2 linked regions of the Diceros bicornis minor genome follow. The protein of the gene in region 2 interacts with the protein of the main gene of each other region in a pairwise test. Links are inferred from orthologs where the notes say so. Each region holds a gene or a part of one and is shown on either strand. Other genes may lie near its edges.

What was found. The genes of interacting proteins can lie anywhere in the genome.
Region 1: the proteins of TRAF3IP1 (region 2) and OLFM1 interact in a two-hybrid assay, tested with the Homo sapiens proteins (2 studies listed by BioGRID and IntAct). The link is inferred for Diceros bicornis minor from reciprocal best matches to the Homo sapiens genes TRAF3IP1 and OLFM1.

Annotation. Positions count from the first base shown.
Region 1 is NC_080767.1:41,777,688-41,787,240, forward strand, and holds the start of OLFM1 (noelin), read left to right. Parts: upstream 1-5,567; 5' UTR 5,568-5,866; coding exon 5,867-6,016; intron 6,017-8,036; coding exon 8,037-8,186; intron 8,187-9,553. UniProt on the Homo sapiens protein: Contributes to the regulation of axonal growth in the embryonic and adult central nervous system by inhibiting interactions between RTN4R and LINGO1. Inhibits RTN4R-mediated axon growth cone collapse.
Region 2 is NC_080776.1:25,699,357-25,709,713, reverse strand, and holds the start of TRAF3IP1 (TRAF3-interacting protein 1), read right to left. Parts: upstream 4,054-10,357; 5' UTR 3,975-4,053; coding exon 3,852-3,974; intron 579-3,851; coding exon 510-578; intron 87-509; coding exon 1-86.

The sequences.
Region 1 (9,553 bases), on a different chromosome or scaffold from region 2:
GTGCATTTTTCGGTACAGGCTGCCGTGGTGGTTGGCGAAGCTCTGGCCCTTGTGTCTTCCCAGGTCCTCTCGGTACACGCCTTCCTCATGGAGGAGGTAGGGAACAGGAGCGCTGCAGGGACGTGCACGGCTCTGACGGCTTCTGCTCAGGGGAGAGAGCTGTCCCCTCCTTTCCCTGGCCAGAATGTCAGGCCACACAGCCAAGCCCGACATCGGTAGTGGCAGGGGACCCTCTGCCCAAGGGAGGCACTGCAAGGCGCAAGGGGATAGGCCAGGAGGAAAATCCTCTTACAGGAAGGGCGCGAGGAGTGATAATGCTGTCCACTGCCATCCACCACCGTCTACCGCCGTCTGCCCAAGTGTACCCCCAGAGCCGCAGAGGGGCCACAATGAAGGGGACATTTGGATCGGACTGCCCGTGGCGGTCTTCCGTGGCTGCTGGGAGAGAGGGTTTGGGGGATCCGTGGGCTCCTCCCAGATGCCCGGCTGGAGACCAGGTCCTCTCCCTGCTCCAAGAACATTCCTCCCCCAGCAGGGAGGGTGACTGGAAAGGGTGCCTGTGGGGTGGAGGGAGCAGAGTGGCTCCACGTGAGGCCCCCTCCTCGCTCCTGCCCCCTCTTTCTCTCCCATCTCTGTTCCCTCCTTCTTTCTCTCTCCCTCCCTCTCCCTGGCCCCCCCCCAGCTATGTGCCAATAGCTTAAGGAAAATATGCATATTTTTAAACAGCAAAAGGGCATCCAAACTGTGTCCTTTGGGGTCTCTCTTTGCCAAGGAGCCTGGCGGACTGGCCCAGACCCCAGCAGGTCCTCACTCTGTGGACCTCGGTTTTCTGTTTGTGGACTGGACACACGCAGATGTGCCCTCCTCGCTGGCACACGGTCATTGTGGGCCTTCATTAGGTGACGCTTCACCCCCCATGCGTGCCTGTCCCTCATGAGAAGCACAGGGTTTTAGGCAGGAGGATGCTTTCACGTCATGTTGAGAGCCGTGAACCCTGGGGCCGTGGAGGTCAGCCTTCTTGTCTCACGTGCGCAGGTGGACTTGCGCAGGAGGGGGCTGGCGTGAGGACAGACACCAGGCCAGTTTGACACGTCACAACAGGTGCCCCGGCATTGCAGGCCTGAGCCAGGAACCGCGCAGGGAGGGCCGGTCTCATGGCCTTCCACAGGCTCTGACGAGGGCCTAGGAACGCGCGGGCAGAAATGTCTCTGGGGGGCCCCTGTGCACCGTGGAATTGTGCAGGTGGCGGGGTGTCTGTGGCCACGCGGATCACGCTCCTCCCGGGCCTGTGAGAGTTCACAGGGGCCGTGTGCTGAGGTCTGAATGTTCATGCCCCTGCCCTTCGTGTGATGAAACCCTAACCCTCAAAGACAATGGCATTGGGAGGGGGGCCCTTGGGAGCTGCCCCGCCCTCGTGAATGGGATTAGTGCCCTATAATGAGGCTCCAGAGAGGTCCCTCACCCTCCCTCCGGGTGAGGACACCACGAGAAGGCGCCAGCGATGAGCCAGGAAGCGGGCCCTCACCAGAACGCAATCACGCCGGCGCCTTCATCTCGGTCTTCCAGCCTCCAGAACTGTGAGCAATAAATATCTGTTGTTTATAAGCCACTGGTAGGTGATGTTTTGTTAGAGCAGCCTGAACGGACTGAGACACCATGACGTCTGGAAGGTAGATGTGGACCATTGTTTTGGACTTGGCCTGGGAACAGCTGGCCCCCCATAGGACCTTGGACAGGTCCTGTCATCTTCCTAAGCCTGAAACAACTCCTCTGTGGAGTGGAGCCCACGTGAGCACCACCCAGGGCGTCTGTGAGCAGTGAGTGACATCAGGCTCTTAGTCTGAGGGTGTCTGGGGTGCAGCCCTGCTCCATCGTCTTATGAGGGTTATTCAGAGTTGCGAACATAAGTGAGACTTGCTTCAGGGGGAGCCGTGTGAAAACTGGGATTTAAATTCCTCCTTAGGAGCACTTGGTGTTGGCTGCCACCAGGGATCCTTTAATCCAAACGCCTTCATTCTTCACCAGTCCGTAGACTGCTTTTGGAAATATCACGTAGTCTTCTAAATCAAATCATGACGTGTCAAAGCGGCCCGGTGTCTGTCCTCACTTGCGCGAGGCTTCTCAGATGGCCCTTCAGAAGCATTAAAAGCAGCGGTCTCTCCTACTGAACTGTAGACTCCAGACCTGCAGAGGGCTTTGGTTTGGGATTAGAGGAGTTGGAAGTGACTAACCCTGAACCTCCCAGCTGGTTATAGCAGCAGGGGCGCAGGCTGGAGTGACAACATGGGTGTAGATTACAGCAGCAGGGTTCCCACAGGTTACAGCAGCAAGGGTGCAGGTCAGAGCAGCACAGGTACAGGTTACAGTAGCACAGGTGCAGGCTAGAGCAGCAGGGGTCCCACAGGTTACAGCATCACAGGTGCAGGTTACAGCAGCAAGGGTGCAGGGTACAGCAGCACAGGTGCAGGCTAGAGCAGCAGGGGTGCAGGTGAGAGCAGCTCGGGCGCAGGCTCCCGGGTGGATGGGGAGCAGGGCCGTATCCACTGCACAGCCCTGTCCTGTCCACACGCTCCATCTGGGAGGGAGCAGCAAGGACAACGAGTCTATTCAGTTCTCTATAAACACAGACAAGAAATGAAGAGATGAGGACTAGGATTTAAAGGCAGCGGGTTGGGTGTGAGTCAGCTTTTCCTCCCATCACTCTCGATGCTTTGACCTCCCGGGGTCAGCTGAGCTCCCAGGGAACCGGAGGAACTCCAGGGCGCAGTCCACATTTGGCAAGCCTAGTGTGAGTAACCCAAAGCTGTATTTTTAAAAGGCTGCTTCTCAGCCATGCCCTTAGGGATGCCAGGATCCCTCTCTAGCTCCCCAGTGCGCCTGCAGGCTCAGGAGAAACAGGGGAAGGGGGTTTCAAATCTCCAGGCCGGCGCTGACTGCCCGTCCCCTGGAGGGTCGGAGAGAGTCCCTGGCCGGTGGAAGGGAAGGCAGGTCATCAATCCCTGGGGCGCCTCGCCTCCAGCGGTTCTTTGCAGCAGCACTTGGCTTCATCGTGGCAAACTACCTGGATTTCATTCCCTCTGTCGAGAACCCAGCCAAGCTGGCACTCGTCAAATTTAGAGTCCCCGTTGCAAATCCTTGCGGGACATTACTGACGTGAAATCAAATCAGAAGTTCCTCAAAACAGGAGAGTTGTTTTTTTTTTTTTTATTCTTTGTGTCTGCCCACCTGGGGTGTCACCTTCCGAGAACTGGGCTCTGGCTGCAGGGAGTGGTTTCCGTGTCCAACCATACCTCCTCCACATTGTCCATCTGTATCACATTGTCCATCTGTATCACAGCATCTCTTGTGGATGGTCTTAACCAAAAGCAGCTCTTAGGAGAGGCAGCAGAGGTCTCTGGGGGCATCGGAGCCCAGCCCTGCCCCTCGTGTTCTCACCAGTCGCTCACCTGAGGGTTCTCTCTGAGCTTGTTTGGTGTTCTGCAAATCGGGGATGACAAGGACTGGCTCTCTTATTGGGCACCAAGCCAGCTCCTGCATTAACTCACTTAATCCTCACAACACCCCAGAGAGGAAGGTTACTGTTATTAAACCCATTTTACAGATGGGGAAACTGAGGCACAGATGGGCTAATCCCCTCGGTCAGGGTCTCAGTGCCAGTAAGTGGCACAGCCAGGGCTCACCCCCAAGCTGCGGCTCCAGAGTCCGCACAGGGAGTGACCATTCTGAGATGCCTCTCCCGCAATGGCGTCTACTGGGTTGGTTGTAGGGAAGTTCACGCAGGGTGCCCTGCAAGGGCCCAGGAATCTGCTACTCTCATCTCGGTGTTGCTTCTGTCCTGGGGTTTAGGGCACACCGTGTCCGTGCCTTGGTTTTGATGTGGAGTCTGCAGCACAGGGTACCCCACATCCTGTGCTGAGTAGGTGACAAATGCCTGCAGCTTCTGAGACGGCCGGCGTGCAAGTTTTGTGGACTGGATTGGGCTGGATTTGAAGTTGTTCCGACAAAATAAGTGGTCGTTGTCCTCCTGCCGTGGGAAGCGGGTGTGAGTGATTTTGGTGGCTCCACTTGTGGCCCTGAATCTGTGTCAAATCCTCGTTGAAAGAGAGAGGAGGCAGAGCCTGGGTGAGGGCTCCCAGCCCCGCAGGGGTGCCTTGTGCTCGTGGATCAGGGCTGCTGAGGCAGAGCCTGCAGTACCTGCTGGCACTGGGAGATGGCGTCCTGCCCCAACTGTTGGAATTCGCCGCCTGCGACCTAGGTGCTGCCACAGATCTGAGTATTCATCAGGAAAACAAATCCGAGGGGCCCCTTCAGCCGGTGGGTCTCACACCCAACACTCCGGCTGTCATTGAGTCCCTTCTACAAGAGGGTACAGAGCACAGAGAGAAGCCCTAGGAAGGTGGGGTCCATCTTAGGTGGACACCAGGAAGGCCGGCTCCTTCCTCCCAACCCCATCTTTCAATCCCCAACCAGGAAGGGAGATTAATTATTGCCCAGGCAGAAAAGAGCTTGGTGAGTGATCTGGACAATTCTTTCCTTCCCAATGGCTGAGAAGGCTCAATGGAGGCCTGGAGGATGTGTCTTTCATCTTGGGTCAGAAGGCTCCTGCACATTCTAAAGCCCTATTAAGGGGTTTGACGAGTCAGGCTGGCTTCTGAGGAGGCTTACACGTCGTGTCCTGGGCTGGGGGCTTGTGCCAGCCTGCCCTGCCCCTCTGCCTGGGCACCAGACTCCAGTCCCCCCACAGGGACACAGGAAGCAGTGAGGATACCCACTCCTGCCCCCAACCACAGACCCCAGGTCCCTGACCTGCCCCACCCACATCACACTCCTCATGGGTGGGGCCCCTTTAGCTCCCTGCCCCTGCCAGAGCCCCAAACCTGCACCCAGCTCCTCCACTGTGTGCACACTCCTGGGGCCCCTCCTGCGTGCACCCACCCCTCACACCCACACCCAGGAGCCCACACTGGTCGGTGTTGGCAGCTGCCAGGAGATTCCCTTCCTCCCAAAGGCCTTAGAGCACCTGGCTTCCCGGGGTCCTAGGAGGGTCTTTCCTCTTACACCCCTTTCCCCTCCCCCAGTGCTGGGGCTGGAGACCCCCATGAAGGGCTGCTTTCGGAGCCGGCCAGGAGCTCGCCCTCCCGGCTGGGTTTCAAGGGGCGGCCCAGGCTGGCAGGGAGTGCAGTAGGTCTCCAGCAGTCGGGGAGCACCGGGCCCTGGGAGGGGGTGTCTCAGAGGGGTGCCTGGGCCTCGCTCAGCTGTCGGCCGTAAGGGTGAGAGGGCAGCGGCCAATCCGTGCAGCTTAGGCAGCCGCCCTGCCGCGGGCGGACTTTTATGACTTGGGTGACGGTGGTCCGTCTCGGCTGCCGGGTCACCCTATCCCAACTCCTCGGCGACGGGGCTTTGCAGATCTCGCTGCCAGCAGCCAGGGGGCGGCGGGGAGCCAGAGCGGAGAGGAAAAATCCACCCATTTCCTGGGCGGATTGCGTCGGCCGCCGCCCGACCGTGTCCCCGCCTCCCGGCCACGGCCCCAGCGCGCAGCCCGCGCCGCGCTCAGAGGCAGAGCCGGGCGGCCCTTCCCGGCGGCAGAGCGCGGAGGGACGCGGAGGGACGCGGCGGCACCAGGCACCGGGCAGCGGCGGGGCGGGCAGCGGCCGCCGGCGGCCACTCTCCCTGGCGCCCGGAGGCGGCGTAGCCATGGCCCGGGCGCGCGGGGCGGCGGCGGCGGCGGGCGGGCGGTGGCGGGCCGAGGGGGCGCGGGGACACGGCCGGGCGCCCCTGCCCGCCGCGGTGCCCGCCGCCTGAAGGCTGCCTGGGGCGCGGAGCCGGCGTCGGCGCGGCGCGGGCGCAGGCGGCGACTCGAGGCGCGATGTCGGTGCCGCTTCTCAAGATCGGGGTTGTGCTGAGCACCATGGCCATGATCACCAACTGGATGTCCCAGACGCTGCCCTCGCTGGTGGGCCTCAACACCACCAAGCTCTCGGCGGCCAGCGGCGGGACGCTCGACCGCAGCACCGGCGTAAGTGCGCCCGCCGCCCGCCTTCTCGGGGCCCTTCTCCCGCTCCCTCCCCGACCTCCAACCCAGGGCTGGGCGGGCGCCGCGCGGGGCGCAGGGCGCAGGAGCAAGGGCGCGCGCAGGGGTCCCGAGGCGGCTCCTCCGCGCTGCGGGGTGACCCTGCTCCCCACGCCCCCAGCCCCGGCCACTCCTCCGGCTGCGGTTCCCCGGCGACGCTTCCTTCCTTTGCCTGGTCCCCTCGTGGGGCGAGGGGAGCCTGCTCAGGAGCTCGGAGGCTTGGAGTCCTCGTTCAACTAAGTCTCTCATTGATAAGGTTGGGAAGCTGAGGCGGGGGACTTGGGGATTTGTCCAAGGTCACTCTGCAAGTGAGGGGTGGAGACGCCGCCGCTCCATCCCGGGCTGGCTGGTCCAGCCAGGGCTCTGAACGGAGCCCGCCCTACTTTGTGAAAGCCGGACTGAACCCAGCCCGGAGTGGGGCCCGGCCGGGCGGCGGGCTTGGGAGCTGGTGCCCTCGCCTGCCTGCGCGTTCCAAAGTCCCGAGGCGCCTTTCCCTCCCCATCCCCGTACGGACGGAGGTCATTGGGGTCCCGTGGAGGAGAGTGCCGTGGGGCCCAGGACGGGGCCCCCGGGAGCCACTTGCAGCGGAGCTCGACCCCTTGCCTACCGTGCACCCCTCCCGCCCTGCCTCTCAAATCGTTTCTCCTTTCCTCTCGATGCCTTGGGGGAGGGGCGTGTGGCCCGGGTCGCTTCTGGGCAGGGCTAACTTAGATGGTGGCTGGAGCGGAGGCTGAGCCAGAGCCACCCGTGAGCGCCAGGCCGGGCTCACGGAGGAAGGGGCGCGCCCAGGCCCGGCTCCCTCTGAGCTGAAAGGAGAGGTGAAGGACACGAGTGTCCTCGCCCGCTCCCTTCTGGCTGCCAAGGGCGCAGTGCTCCGGCGGGAGGTCTCCGTGTGACCCCCTCCTAAGAGCGTTCTCACGTTCACCTCACCTGCTGTTTCGAGAATTGCATGCACCGTGTTTGCTTCATAATGTCTCTGTTCCTGCTTCTGGGCCCTGAGCTTCTGAGGTTGGCAATGAATGAAATGAAATGTAATGATACTATGGACTCTCCCACCAACTTCTCCCCGCCCTCGTGCTAAAAATAGCAGGGAGGTGACCTGAGGCAACTGGGCAGGCTGCAGTGGGGGAACAGTCTGTGTTCAGGGGGTGTTTTCCAACAGCAGTGTCTGCCCTGTGTACCTGGTGGTCAGGACTACCTGAGCTGGGCTGCAAGGCAAGGTGACACCAGCCATGTCACCATGTCACCAGCCATGTGCAGCTCTGGTTTCTTGGTGGTCCTTGGGCACACCTCAGGACTGAGGTTGGGTGTGACCCCTGCACAACATGTCACCAGCAACTCGGTGACATCCACCAAATGGCTTGTGGGTGGCAGCCTGTGCAGAGTGGGAAGCCCGGCGTTCTCTCGGGCAGTCTTCGCCAGGCTGCCAGCGGGAAGATTGCTGGGGCTCAGGGTCGTTGCAGCTCTGGGCTAATAGGCTGCTGGATCCCAGCTATTAGGGCCCGTGCTTCATCTCCCAGCGTCAGGGAGCTGCAGAGTGAGGCTGCGCCGGCCACCCCTGCCTGCCTTACGGGAGGAGATCTTATTTCTGAATTACGTGCCCACTGTGAGTCAGCCAGCCTCTTGCTTCCCTGCCTCTGGTCACCCCTCCCTTCTACTTAATGGATCAATTTGGTCAGATACCAAAACTCCAAACATTCCTTAAATTTAAAAACCCCTTGAATTTAAAAAAAAAAAATGTAAAGAGTTGTGACGGTTTGACTCCTTTCCAGTCCTGGGGATCCTGACGGGAGACTGTCTCTGTTCCTGGGGTCCCCTTTCCCTCTTCGTGGTCAGAACGTGTCTTTGGACCATTGCTTTCTGCCTTTTCCCCCGGGGGGTCGGATGTGGACGATGCCCCCTGGTTTTGTCCCTGGTACACTACCTTACGGTCTCCCTTTCTCTCCCTCCCTCTCCCTCCGCCCAGGTGTTGCCCACCAACCCTGAGGAGAGCTGGCAGGTGTACAGCTCTGCCCAGGACAGCGAGGGCAGGTGTATCTGCACAGTGGTTGCTCCCCAGCAGACCATGTGTTCACGAGATGCCCGCACGAAACAGCTGAGGCAGCTCCTGGAGAAGGTGAGTCTGTGCAGGGTGTGTGTGCGTGTGGGTGTACTTGTATGTGCATGTGTGTGCCCACGCGAGCGCCAAGGCTTGGCTAGCCTGCGGGTCATCTCAGCTCCAAGGCCTCACTCTTTCCCGGCATGTCCTCACTCGGAATATTTGTAAATGAAGGAATGAATGGATGGATGGATAGGAGAGAGGCATAGACCCTCCCGGTCACTGCAGGCTCCACTGAGGAGCCAGTGGTGGTGGGGAGAGGGGTGTGGGGCCCCTCTCCCGCGACTGTCTCTCCAAGTAGCGCCTGTGATCTGTCATCCCGAGGGCTCAGAGCTGTCCCTGAGCAGCTGCCTGGGAGGACGCCCTGGGAGCCGGAAATGCTCGGCCACTGGGATTTTGCCTGATGGGGTCTGTCCCCCGCCTTTGAGCAGCTGTTCACTACTGTGGATGCCTCCCTGGTACAAAAGCAGATTCAGTTGTTACCTTGTAGCCCACCTGGGAACAGAAGTTGTGTCTACATTTTGAATCCAGTATTTCACTTAATCTTCACAAGAACCACATGGGGTTGGTGAGATTTTTCACCATTTCGAGAAGTGGAAATCTGGGTCCAGAGGTGGACTGACTTGTCCCAAGCCAGAAAGCTGGTCGGCAGGGAGCAGCACTCAAACCTGGTGGCCGCCTTCCCACCTGGCCTGGCGTTCTCGGCCCTCACAGAGGCTGCCACTCCTGATGGGGCAGCCGACTCACCTCCTGGCACATTCCGCACCAGGAAGCCTGGATTCTCCAATGACTTGGGCATCAGGGCCCCTGGGAGTTACCGGGGGGAGGAAGGAGATAGGGGCGGCCCTTCTGGTCCATTCATCACCCTCCCCCCGGAGGAAGGGCATTTTTTTTTTTTTTATTGATGTTTTAATGGTTTCTAACATTGTGAAATTTTGGGTTGTACATTTTTGTTTGTCCATCACCACATATATGACTCAGGAAGGGCGTTTTATATGGGGACACTTCACCCCGGAAAGTGGGCTCACACCACACACACACACACACACACAGACACCACACACACAGACACCACACACATGCAATCCACACACAGACACCACACACACACAATCCACACACAGACACCATACACAAATCACATACACATGTGTACCACATACACTACACGCAGATACTCACATACACACACACAGGCACCACACACAAATACATACACACCACACACACACACACCACACAAATACACAAAAACACACACCACGTATATTCCACACACACACAGACACACACGTATGCCACACACACCACACAAATACACATACACACACCACATATACACCACACACACCGGCTACACACACAGACACACATATACACTACGC
Region 2 (10,357 bases):
GCTGGTTTTGCCGACAGTGGCTCTCCTGAAACCATGACCACCACGTCTATGGCCTTCTGAAGGAAGCTAATTTTTGCATCTTTATCCTGAAAGATTTCCATTTAAAATACAAATATTAAAATACTTCAAAAAGAGTTTGCACTATCTTCAGTATGTTCAACAGGCACAGTTCCTATTTATATAAACAGCTATTTTTAGATGTATGTCAAATTTAGAAATACTGACTCTGTATAACAAAAGGAAAATAATTCATTAAAGCTTTTAATCTTAGTTCATGGGCTAGCACTAACCTCAGAGACACTAATTCCATTTCTCAATGGGTAAAATTAGCGTGATACGTAGTTGCCCAAAATTAGAAAACGAAATAAGAACGGGTATACAGCAGTTCACGACTTAATCCACCTTGTCTTCTTACCATCTATCAGCATATAAATGACACACGCCACAGATACAGCTTATAAAAACCCCCATTCATTAAGGCGAGGGGGTGGAACCTCCCCCAAACCTACCTTAACATTATCAGACTTCATCTCAGTGTCCGTGTAGAGGCCTTTCATGAAACCAGTCATCCTAATCACCTTCAAAAGATAAAGCAAGGCCATGGTCAGCACCTCACGGGACAGCCTCCTCAGCAGCCTCATCCACCGAACCCCAGGCTCAGGGGCTGTCAGAATCTGTCTGCACCCAGAATCTAATTCATTCACTCACTCCACAAACACGTGAGTGTCTACCATGTGGAAGCCTTGTACCAGGCAGAAGCCCACCTGGCTGTGGGGACAGGCCAACATTACAAAGACTTGCAGGGTGCTAAGGGAGCCCCGCTCAGAACCTAATCCAAATGCGGGAGGGGCGAGGGGCGTCAGGGAACACTTCCCAGAAGAAATCCTGTCTAAAGTGAGCAGAGGCTGACAGGAGAAAAGTCGGGGGAGGGAGTATTCAGGAAGCGTGTGCCAGGATAACAAAGAGTCCCCGCAAGGTCCAGAGCCAAGAGGGTCCTGTTCTCAGGATCAAAGGAAGTTGGGATGGGAGGAGCCTGAGGCCAGAGTCAGGCAGGGGCCTGGCCTGGATGGCCTTCCAAGCCATTCAGGAATGCGGACTTAGTCTTGGGAACAAGAGGAGGCCGTGAGAGGTTCAAAAGCAGGGAATGGCATCTTACAAGGGTCACCCAGGCTTGGTGGAGAGAATGGATCTTGGAAAAAAAAGGAACTTCTCAGCCTGGGTTTCTGACAGTGGACGGAAAGGTCTTCCTCACCACTGTGCTGCTCACTTCCTAGGACACAGGGGTGCTCTCTGCCGTATCACTTTTGTTCTCTCCCCTAGTCAACCTGTACCTCCCAAATACCCCTAAAACGAGCTCTTGGGTGGTGATTTTCTCTGTTCCTCCCCACCCCTACACACAGCCAGGGCCCTGGGTTCCCTCAGACACAGTTTTTCAAAATGTGGTAGATCACTGTAAAATCAACATAATGGGTAGCAATAAGCATTTTAAAAAAATGAAACAGAAAAGAAAATATTAGAATGTATTGTATGTGGTAAGGATGAATATGTCTATGGGTGAATATGTCCTGGGTGGATACAGAGCATATTTATTACTGCATGTTCAAAAAAAAAGAAGACAGTCCCTCTGCTAATATCAGGCTCCTTCTCTGACACCAAGCTACAGCTAGCTATTAATTAAGTCAGCTTTCATTCCTCATCAAACTACTTAAGAGCTGTGCCATTATTTTTCCTGATAAGACAGGTGGAATATTACGAGTATCCTGCACTTAACATTCTTGGAACTTTTTCATTTTGTCTCTTTTGAGGTTTTCCCAGTTTGCTTGCAATTAAAATTGTGAGCAATAATTTTAAGTGATGAGACATTAATGTCACAAGATCAACACTTGGATTTATAAAAGAGGCAGAATTAGTTTAACTGTAGCTAAAATACTAATATGGTGACTTGACTATAATGCTCAGGGGCAGTAAAGAATTTTCATAGAGGTTCTTCCCCTATTATCTAAAAATCCTTTCCAATATTTCAATCATCCTAATATCTTTATCAAGTGGGTGACAATTAACATATTTATCTTTACACCGGTAGAGAAATTCATTTCGGCATTAGATTAGGAAAAATCTGTGAAAGAAAAGCAGGTGAGTGGCTCCTGATAGGGAACGCTTCACTCCTTCCACACAGCCTGGCTACCTGGCCAATCACACCAATTCCTGCTTGCATGTTCCTCCTCCTCCTCCATTAAGATGCCCTCCGACCTTCCAGGAGGTGGGGACAGCAGCCACCGTGAGCCCAGCCCCACACCAAGACCCACAGGATGAGGCACGTCCCCCCGCCTCCTCCCTGGCTCTGTTTCAGCGGGGAGACAGGACTAACACAGAAAAGTGTGAGGCTGTGGCAGCAATTGCCGCAGTCAGCCAGGCTGACTGACTTGTTCCCTCCTGGGCTGGAGGACGCTACTTCACAGGGTGGAGGCGATGCAGCACACAGCCCTGTCCCTTCCCCAGACACTGTCCAGGACAGGTGTAAGTGCTGCACTAGCTGCACAAGGAGGCAGCGGCCAGTCAAGACGACCCTTGGGATGTGGATGGGATTCCAGAGAATTTTAAGCACAATTAGGGTTTTCAGCACAGAGGCACACATTATAAGCTAAATTAAGATGGCAGAAACAAGCAAAGAAAAGTTTGTGGAAGAGTAAGATGCCCAACCTGTTGAGAAGAGTGAGAAATAAAGTTTGAGGACCAACACAGGGTGAGATAGCAGCCCCCCGAAGCCTGCAAGTTCAACGTGATTCCTAATTCCCAAAGAGCATGCCTGAGTTCCCAGGTTCAACACGGCCCCCCCAGGTGCACCATGGAAATGGGCGATGCCACCCTGGGTTACCAGGAGCCTTGACAGAGTCCATTCAACAATGAATGTTTGTTGTGCACCTTCTGTGTACCGTACCCAGTGCAGCTCACCCAGGATATGCCAACAAAGAAGTTACAGTCTCCATCATTCAGAAATTCACCATCCAGTGGGGAAAAGTTACAGACAACCAAACACCACTCAGGGCAGGCTGTGCCATTTACCAGCAAACACTAACCTGCTCTTTTATAGTTTTTCCTTTCGGGACCCCCTACAACCACCTTCAGTAAATTCACCCACAGGTATTTATTAAGTATCCAACATGTGGTGACCACTGTGCTCTGCAGTGCAGTGGGAAACTTGACCGGGGAAGGGGGGGGGGCGGTATAAAGAAGAATAATTTCATTCTCCCAGGATTTCTGAGCACCTTCCACGTGCTAGGCACTGCAGGAAAAAAAAATCACAGAAACAACTCTGCCAGGGAAAATGGAAAATGTGCTCTAACAGATACACGGGTAGGCTGGAAAGAATTAATGCTCCCTGAGGAGCTGGGAGTCTCCCCGGAAGAGGCAGCCCTGGGGGATGGGTGAGAACAGGAGAGCAGGGATGAGCGCGAGGAACTCCGCGCAGAGGTACTGCGGAATTGGGCCCAGTGGTCGCCCCTCCCGGCTGCAGGCCAGGCCAAAGGCCGGGCTCCTCGGGCAGGCGCCGCGCACAGCGACGCGAGGCCGGACCCCGACCCCCAACCCCGACTTGGACCGGGGCCCTGACCCCCAGCCCGCCACCCGGGCGAACCCCTGACCCCCGCCGTGGGCCCCGATCCCCAGCCCGCACCCCGACCCTGACCCCGGACTCGCACCCCGGCCCCGACCCCCGCCGTGGGTGCTGAGCCCCGACCCGCACACCGGCCCTGACTCGCACTCCGGCCGCGACCCCGACCCGCATCCCGGCCCCGACCCCCACCGTGGGTCCTGAGCCCTGGCCCGCACCCAGGCCCCGGTCAGGCGCCCACCTCCGTGATGATGTCGTGCAGGTAGCGGAACGGGGGCTTGCACAGCAGCTTCTCCGTCAGCGGCGGCCTCCGGATCACCTTCCCCAGCGCCTCCTGCGTCCGCTTCACCACCGCCGCGTTCATGGCGGCGGCGCCCGCGCCCTGCCGGCCCGCCGAGCCTAAGCCCCACTGCCCGGCCGCCTGCAGCACCGCCGCCGCCGCCCGCTCCAGCCTCGACGAGCCGCTGGGGTTTCCATCCCACAGTGCACCGGAGTCCGCCAAGGCGCGTGCGCGGGGCCGCGGCGCTCGGTCGCCAGGGCGGCGCGGCCCTAGAAACGGACGCTCCCGGCGCCCCGCCCACCACCCGCCGGCTGCGCGCGCACGCTGGGTCGGGTCTGCGGGAGGACGGCCTCAGCCTCCCGGTGCGGGGACAGCGCCCGCCTTCTCTCTGGGCCCTCACGACAGCCTCAGGAATCGCCCCGAGGTACAGGTGACCGCGCTTCCAGACTTCCAAGATTTGTGTTGCTCCTTTCACAGGTTTCAAGGGGACTGAACTAAGTTGTCTCAAAAGACACGGGTTAGAAAATGCCCTATCCTGTCTGTTACTTACTATGGCTTCTTGGGCAAGTAACTCTTGGTCTCTGAGATTTCGTTTCTGTTCCTATGAAGGTAGGATAATAATGTGCCAGCCTGCCTCCCTAACTGCCAAATGACGTGCCAGCGCTTTGTAACCGGGACGAAGCCACGCCCTGCTGTTCTACCAGGTGTGTGTGGTTCCGTCCCACCGTCTTCCATCCGCCATGCCCAGGCTCTCTGCAGGTCCTTCTAGCAATCTGGAAGCTTTGTGGCCTGTCTTTAGTTCTTCTGATGGATATCTTCATAACTTTACATTCATTTTTGCTATTTTCAGTGCTCTTCATTCTTTGTGTACATCCAGATTTCCACCTGGGATCATGCTTCTCCTGTCTGAAGAACTTCCTTTACCATTTCTTTTAGCACAGGTCAGCTGGCAATGGATGCTGTCACTCTTTGTCTGAAAGTCTTTATTGCACCTTCACATTTGAAAGATAGTTTCACTGACTATAGAATTCTGGGTTGACATTTTTGTTTCTTTCAGTACTTTAAAGGTTTTACTCCATTGGCTGCTGGAATATATAGTTTCTGAAGAGAAGTCCCCTGTGGTTCTTATCTTTGTTCTGTCTGTTGTGTCTCTGACTGCCTTCAAGATTTTCTTTTTATCATTGGTTTTCATAAATTTGTCCATGATGTATGTGGGGTTTTTTTGGGGTTTTTTGCTCAAATTTGTATGTAGGGGCCAGCCCAGTGGCATAGTAGCTAAGTTCGGCACCCTCCACTTCGGCGGCCTGGGTTCGCGGGTTCAGATCCCTGTCAAGGACCTACACCACTCATCAAGCCGTGCTGTGGCCGTGACCCATATACAAAATAGAGGAAATATTGGCACAGATGTTAGCTCAGGGCCAAGCTTCCTCAAGAAAAGAGAGGAAGATTGGCAACAGATGTTAGCTCAAGGTCAATCTCCCTCACCAAAAAAAAAAAAAAAAATTGTATTTGATTATTATTTACATACAATAAAATTCACCCATTTTAGGTGTGAAAGTTGATGCAGTTTGATAATTATATACAATTATGTTGCCACCACCATGATCAAGATATAGAGCAGTTCCTGCACACCCTAAAATATTTCCTCCTGTTCATCTACAATCCATCTCCTCCTCCCCTGCCCCCAGCCCTAGGCAAATCTGGTTTCTGTCATTATAATTTTACCTTTTCTAGAGTTTCATGTAAATAGAATCATACAGTACATACATTTTTTGTTTAATTCTTTGTCTTATAATATTTTTGAGATTCATCTGTGTTGCTACATCTATTGATATGTCATTCCTTTTTGTGGCTGAGTAGTATTCCATAATACAATTTGTTTATCCATTTACCAGTTGATGGACATTTCGTTTGCTTTCACTTTTTGATTATTTACGAATAACACTACTAAGACCATTCACATCTAAGTCTTTGTGTGAACATAAGTGTTCATTTCTCTCGGGTAAATATCTAGGACTGGAATTACTGGGTTGTATGGTAAGAATATGTTTAACTTTACAAGATATTACCATACTGTTTTCAAAGTGGCTACACCATTTTTCATTCCCACCAGCAACATATGGGATTTCCAGTTTCTCCATATCCCTGCCAACATTTGATATGTCAGTCTTTTTAACTTCAGTCATTCTAGTGGGTGTATAATGGTATTTTATTATGGTTTTAATTTGCATTTCTCTAGTGATTAGTGATTTTGAGCATCTTTTTGTATACTTGTTGGATATTCATATGTACTTGGTGAAGATAGCCCATAAAGTATCATTCTGGCATTTATGGAATGACTGCTATGTGCTGAGTACTGTCTAGGTGCTGCAGATTTCATGCGGAACCATGTACCTTCTAGTAAGCAACATTCACACCGTCCACTGCTGTCCACTGCTCCTGGGAACATCACTCTCATTGTTGCTAACTTTATGCGGGATGATGTAAGCGTCGGTCACCTAGACAGAGGCCAGGTGAACCGCCAAGGCTCACCTCCCTCCAGCAGTGTCAACCTCGCTTCTTTCCACGATTTACCACGCAGGTGGGCTGGCTGTAGGCAACTTTACTGAGAGGTTGAGAGAAGCCTAAGAGAGTGACAACCCACGAGGGAAGGAATTTGACAACACTCACTGTATACAACTATGCCGTGATCAATGGGGAAAAAAGCCCCCAGCAAATTGCACCCTTCGAGGGAGTCCCCCCCGGGTAGCCTTCAGTTGTTAACCCTGCTCCCCGGCTTCCAGATCTACCTCCTTGGCCAGAGCACCTCCATCCTCTGACCCCTGCCTTGTCAAATCTCCCTGACTTTCTGGAAACCCCACCCTCTACCCATGGAAGCTTTTGTGTCTTCCCATCCACTCCCTTTCTCTCAGCACTACATTTCCCAGAGTCTGGGTTCTCCAGTCCAGTCTCACACCCCAAGGCCTTGGCAGGACAGTCCACTGTGGCATTCAGCACCTGGGTCCCTTAGAACAATCCAGGGTGATGGACACTGTGAATTGGTCTCCTTCCTGGGCTCCCAGGTTCCTGTTATTCTCCTGATTGTCCACACACTTATCTTTATCACATGTGTATCTGGCTTCCCAAGAACAAATATTAATTCAAACAGTTCATCAAACCCCATAAAGAAGATTAAAATAGTTTCCCAGCTGCCTTATCATTTCTGAACATCCTCACCCACACAAACTAATACTTCACATTCACATGGAGAACGGTGTCAGCTCCCTTCCTTCTCCTTCCCCACCCACCACCCCATCCCCACTTCAGGCCCCCAAGGGGCTTTTAAAAGGGGAGACATAGTGAGACTGCATACTTCTTCATGGCTGGGCCCTTAGTTCACAAAGGCTGGCCCGAAGATCTGAAATGATGAAGCCCTGAGACAAAGATACACGAGCTCCCTGCCCTCCAGGTGTTAAGGAAAGAGAGGGTAGGATGTCATTCTCACAGGATGGCCAGGTAGAGCCCCTGGGGGCTGCACCAGATGCAGAAGATGCTGTGGTGTCTGAGAGCTGGAGTGTCCCACCAAGACATCTTCCCTGACCTGCTCCCCATGGCCAAGCTGAGACCCCAGAAGCTCCTGTGAGGAGCAGCCACCTCTGAGCTCTGAAAATGACTGTGGTCAGCCTGAGCGGGGATGGAGGGGAGACTCAGGCCTCTGACTCCAAGTGCCCTGCCTTCTTGACAGACACTCCCCAGCTCCCTCCCCGGAAAGTTCATGCCAGGCAGAATCCTTCTCTGGGCCCAGGGCTGTAGGGGCAACCTGCTTTTCTGTGAGCGGTCAACCAGAGACCAGAGCGGTAGGGAAGGTAGGTGTGGCAGTGGAGAGCCCTCTGGCCACTGAGGTTCCACTGAGGACCTCATCCAGTGCCACACGAGGGGGAAGCCTAATTCTGATTTCTCTCACAGACTGTGGAGAGCAGAGGGGTCATCTAGGCCGAGGAGACCCTTTGGAAGCCTGAGGGCACAGGTCTTGCTATTCTCCTGAGGACCACAGGGCCATGAGAGAGGGTCTGAGAGGATCTGGAACAAGGGAGCGTAGCTGCCCTACCCCACTGAGGGCCTGTCTGGGGGAAGGTGGCCGTGGAGTGGACACTTGTCCCTGGAGGTCACAGCCTCTGGGGAGTGTTCTCCTGGCCATCCACTGTGTCCTCCTGAGGCCACAACACTGCCCCTAGGCAAGTCCATCCCTCCACACAAAAGAGCAGGAGGGCGGTCTGGGCCCTGGGAAAGCAGGGCAGAGAAGATGCAGCTGAGGAGTCCCGACTCCAAGAAAGAAACCTGGAATCAGGACACGGGGGTGGGGAGTGCAGAGGCCAGCCCGGAGCCTCCAGTTCTGGGCACAAGCTGGATGGGGGGCCCTGTAGCCTGAATAACCCTTGAGTGCCTCAGAGTCATGAAAGGATGAGAGGAAAAGGCACAGAACATAAAAAAAGTCATTCATGAAAAAAAGAAAATTGATTAAATAACTATAGAAAATTGCAGCAAAGAAAGAGTTTGAAACACAAAAGGCTGGCAGGAGATGCTTTTGAAATAAGCAGGTTCTGAATAAATGAATGAATGAGATACCCATGGTCTTGACACCCCAGGAGAGAGAGCGCCGCAAAGCCAGATGTCTCCAGGCCCTGTCTCCCCTGCCTGAGAGGCAAACATTCCCCAAGACAAAGGCCTGGAGGGCCAGCCTAGCCCAACCCTGAGCTCCACATCTGCGAAGAGCCCAGGATGTGGGTCAGCCTGCGGGAAGGGTTGGGGAGGCAGGTACCAGGTGGGAGGAGAAGTGGTCCAGAGCCTGGAGACAGCCTCACCAGCCCTGGGTCCAAGACAGGACTCAGAAGGGCAGACATCAGTCTGTGCAGCCGGTCAAGTGCCTGGCTGTATGCTCCATCCTTTAAGCAGGGAGGTGACTGACACCGTTTTTTGAAACCTGAGGGGCCTGCATAGAAGGCCTTGTCCCCAACCCTAGAGAAAAAGAAGACAAAGCCTTCCATCTGTTCCTAAACTTGCTAAGATAGTTTCTGCCTTGGGACCTTTGAACTTGCTGGTCCCTTTAGCTGAATAAGAATAACACTCTTCCCCCAGATCTTCATATGGCTGGATCTTTGCCATTATTCAGGTCTCAGCTCACATGTGACATCCTCAGAGATAACAAAAGTAAAGCACATCTGAACTCAACAGTTACTTACTTCATTTTCCATAAAGTACTTATCATTCTCCGAAAGTAGTTTTAGTATTCATATCTGTCTTTTTGTTTTGCCCCACCCCAAAATCCCCCCAGAAAGTGAGTTCCGTGAATCCAAAGCCTGGGTGATTTGCTCACCTCTGAATTCCCTATACCTTCAACACTTTGAGACACATATAGGCACTCAATTATTATTGGCCGAATGTTGAGTAGATTATGCTCTTATCAAAATTGCTCTTTCCAAAGGGCTCTTCATAATATGGTTTGCTTATACCACAATTTTAAATGAAAAAATCAAACTATAATGTTACATAGACAATTGATCTCAGTAATGTTCTGTGTGTGTGTGTGTGTGCGCGCACATGTATGTGTGAATCAGTCCAGCAGTTTCAAGGTTTCAGAGATTATCTGGGAGTTGGGATAATGGGACATTTCTTCTGCTGCTTTATACCACATTGTAATTTAGATTTATTTCTCAATAGTAATAACTTTTAAATCAAAAACAAAAGTTAAAAGTTGTCAGAGGAAACCTTCAGTTAGGAAAAACCCTCACTTATCGATGCCTTGTGGGCAAACTGTATCCCTTTTTTATACTCCATATATATACAGCTGCCTCTAACGGGGTCATTTAGGAGACAGAAGTTTACCTGGTCCCTCCACAGGCTCCCGAACAGCAGTGAGAATAGTTGCCACCTAGGGCAGCCTTTACCTGTGTAACTAGCTGTGTGACTTTGGTCAATTCTGGCCTTTTCAGTCCTCAGCCATTTCACCAGCAAAGTGAAGGGTTTGAACTAAATAAGCTCAAATGCCTCTTCCAATACCTACCCCTAATGGCAAGCTCTCAGAGCAGCTTCCCCGCGGAAGAACCAGAGCAAAACCAGGTCCCCCAGCATCCCCGCAAACCAAGGTCTCCGAGGGCCTGGGGTCTGAGGGAGGGCCGCCCTTAAATCCCTGAAAACACATACGGAAGAGTTGTTTACAGGCACTTTCCTGGAGCAGGGGTCCACGGCTTTCATCCTATTTGCACAGGGTGATGGTTCTCAAATATCTAAAGGGCAAGGATCATCCTGCTGTTAGAGTCCCAAGCAAGCCTTTTCCAGAAAAGTCTGGTTAACTAGTGTCCAAAGTCCATCACTATTTGCCTTTTCCAAAAGTAAATGAGGGCGAGGCATACATGTGGACTTGGAGCTTTCTGCCAGAGTGGGTGGCTGCCAGCAGAGGCGGGCAGGTGGGAATGGAGAGAGGCCCACCT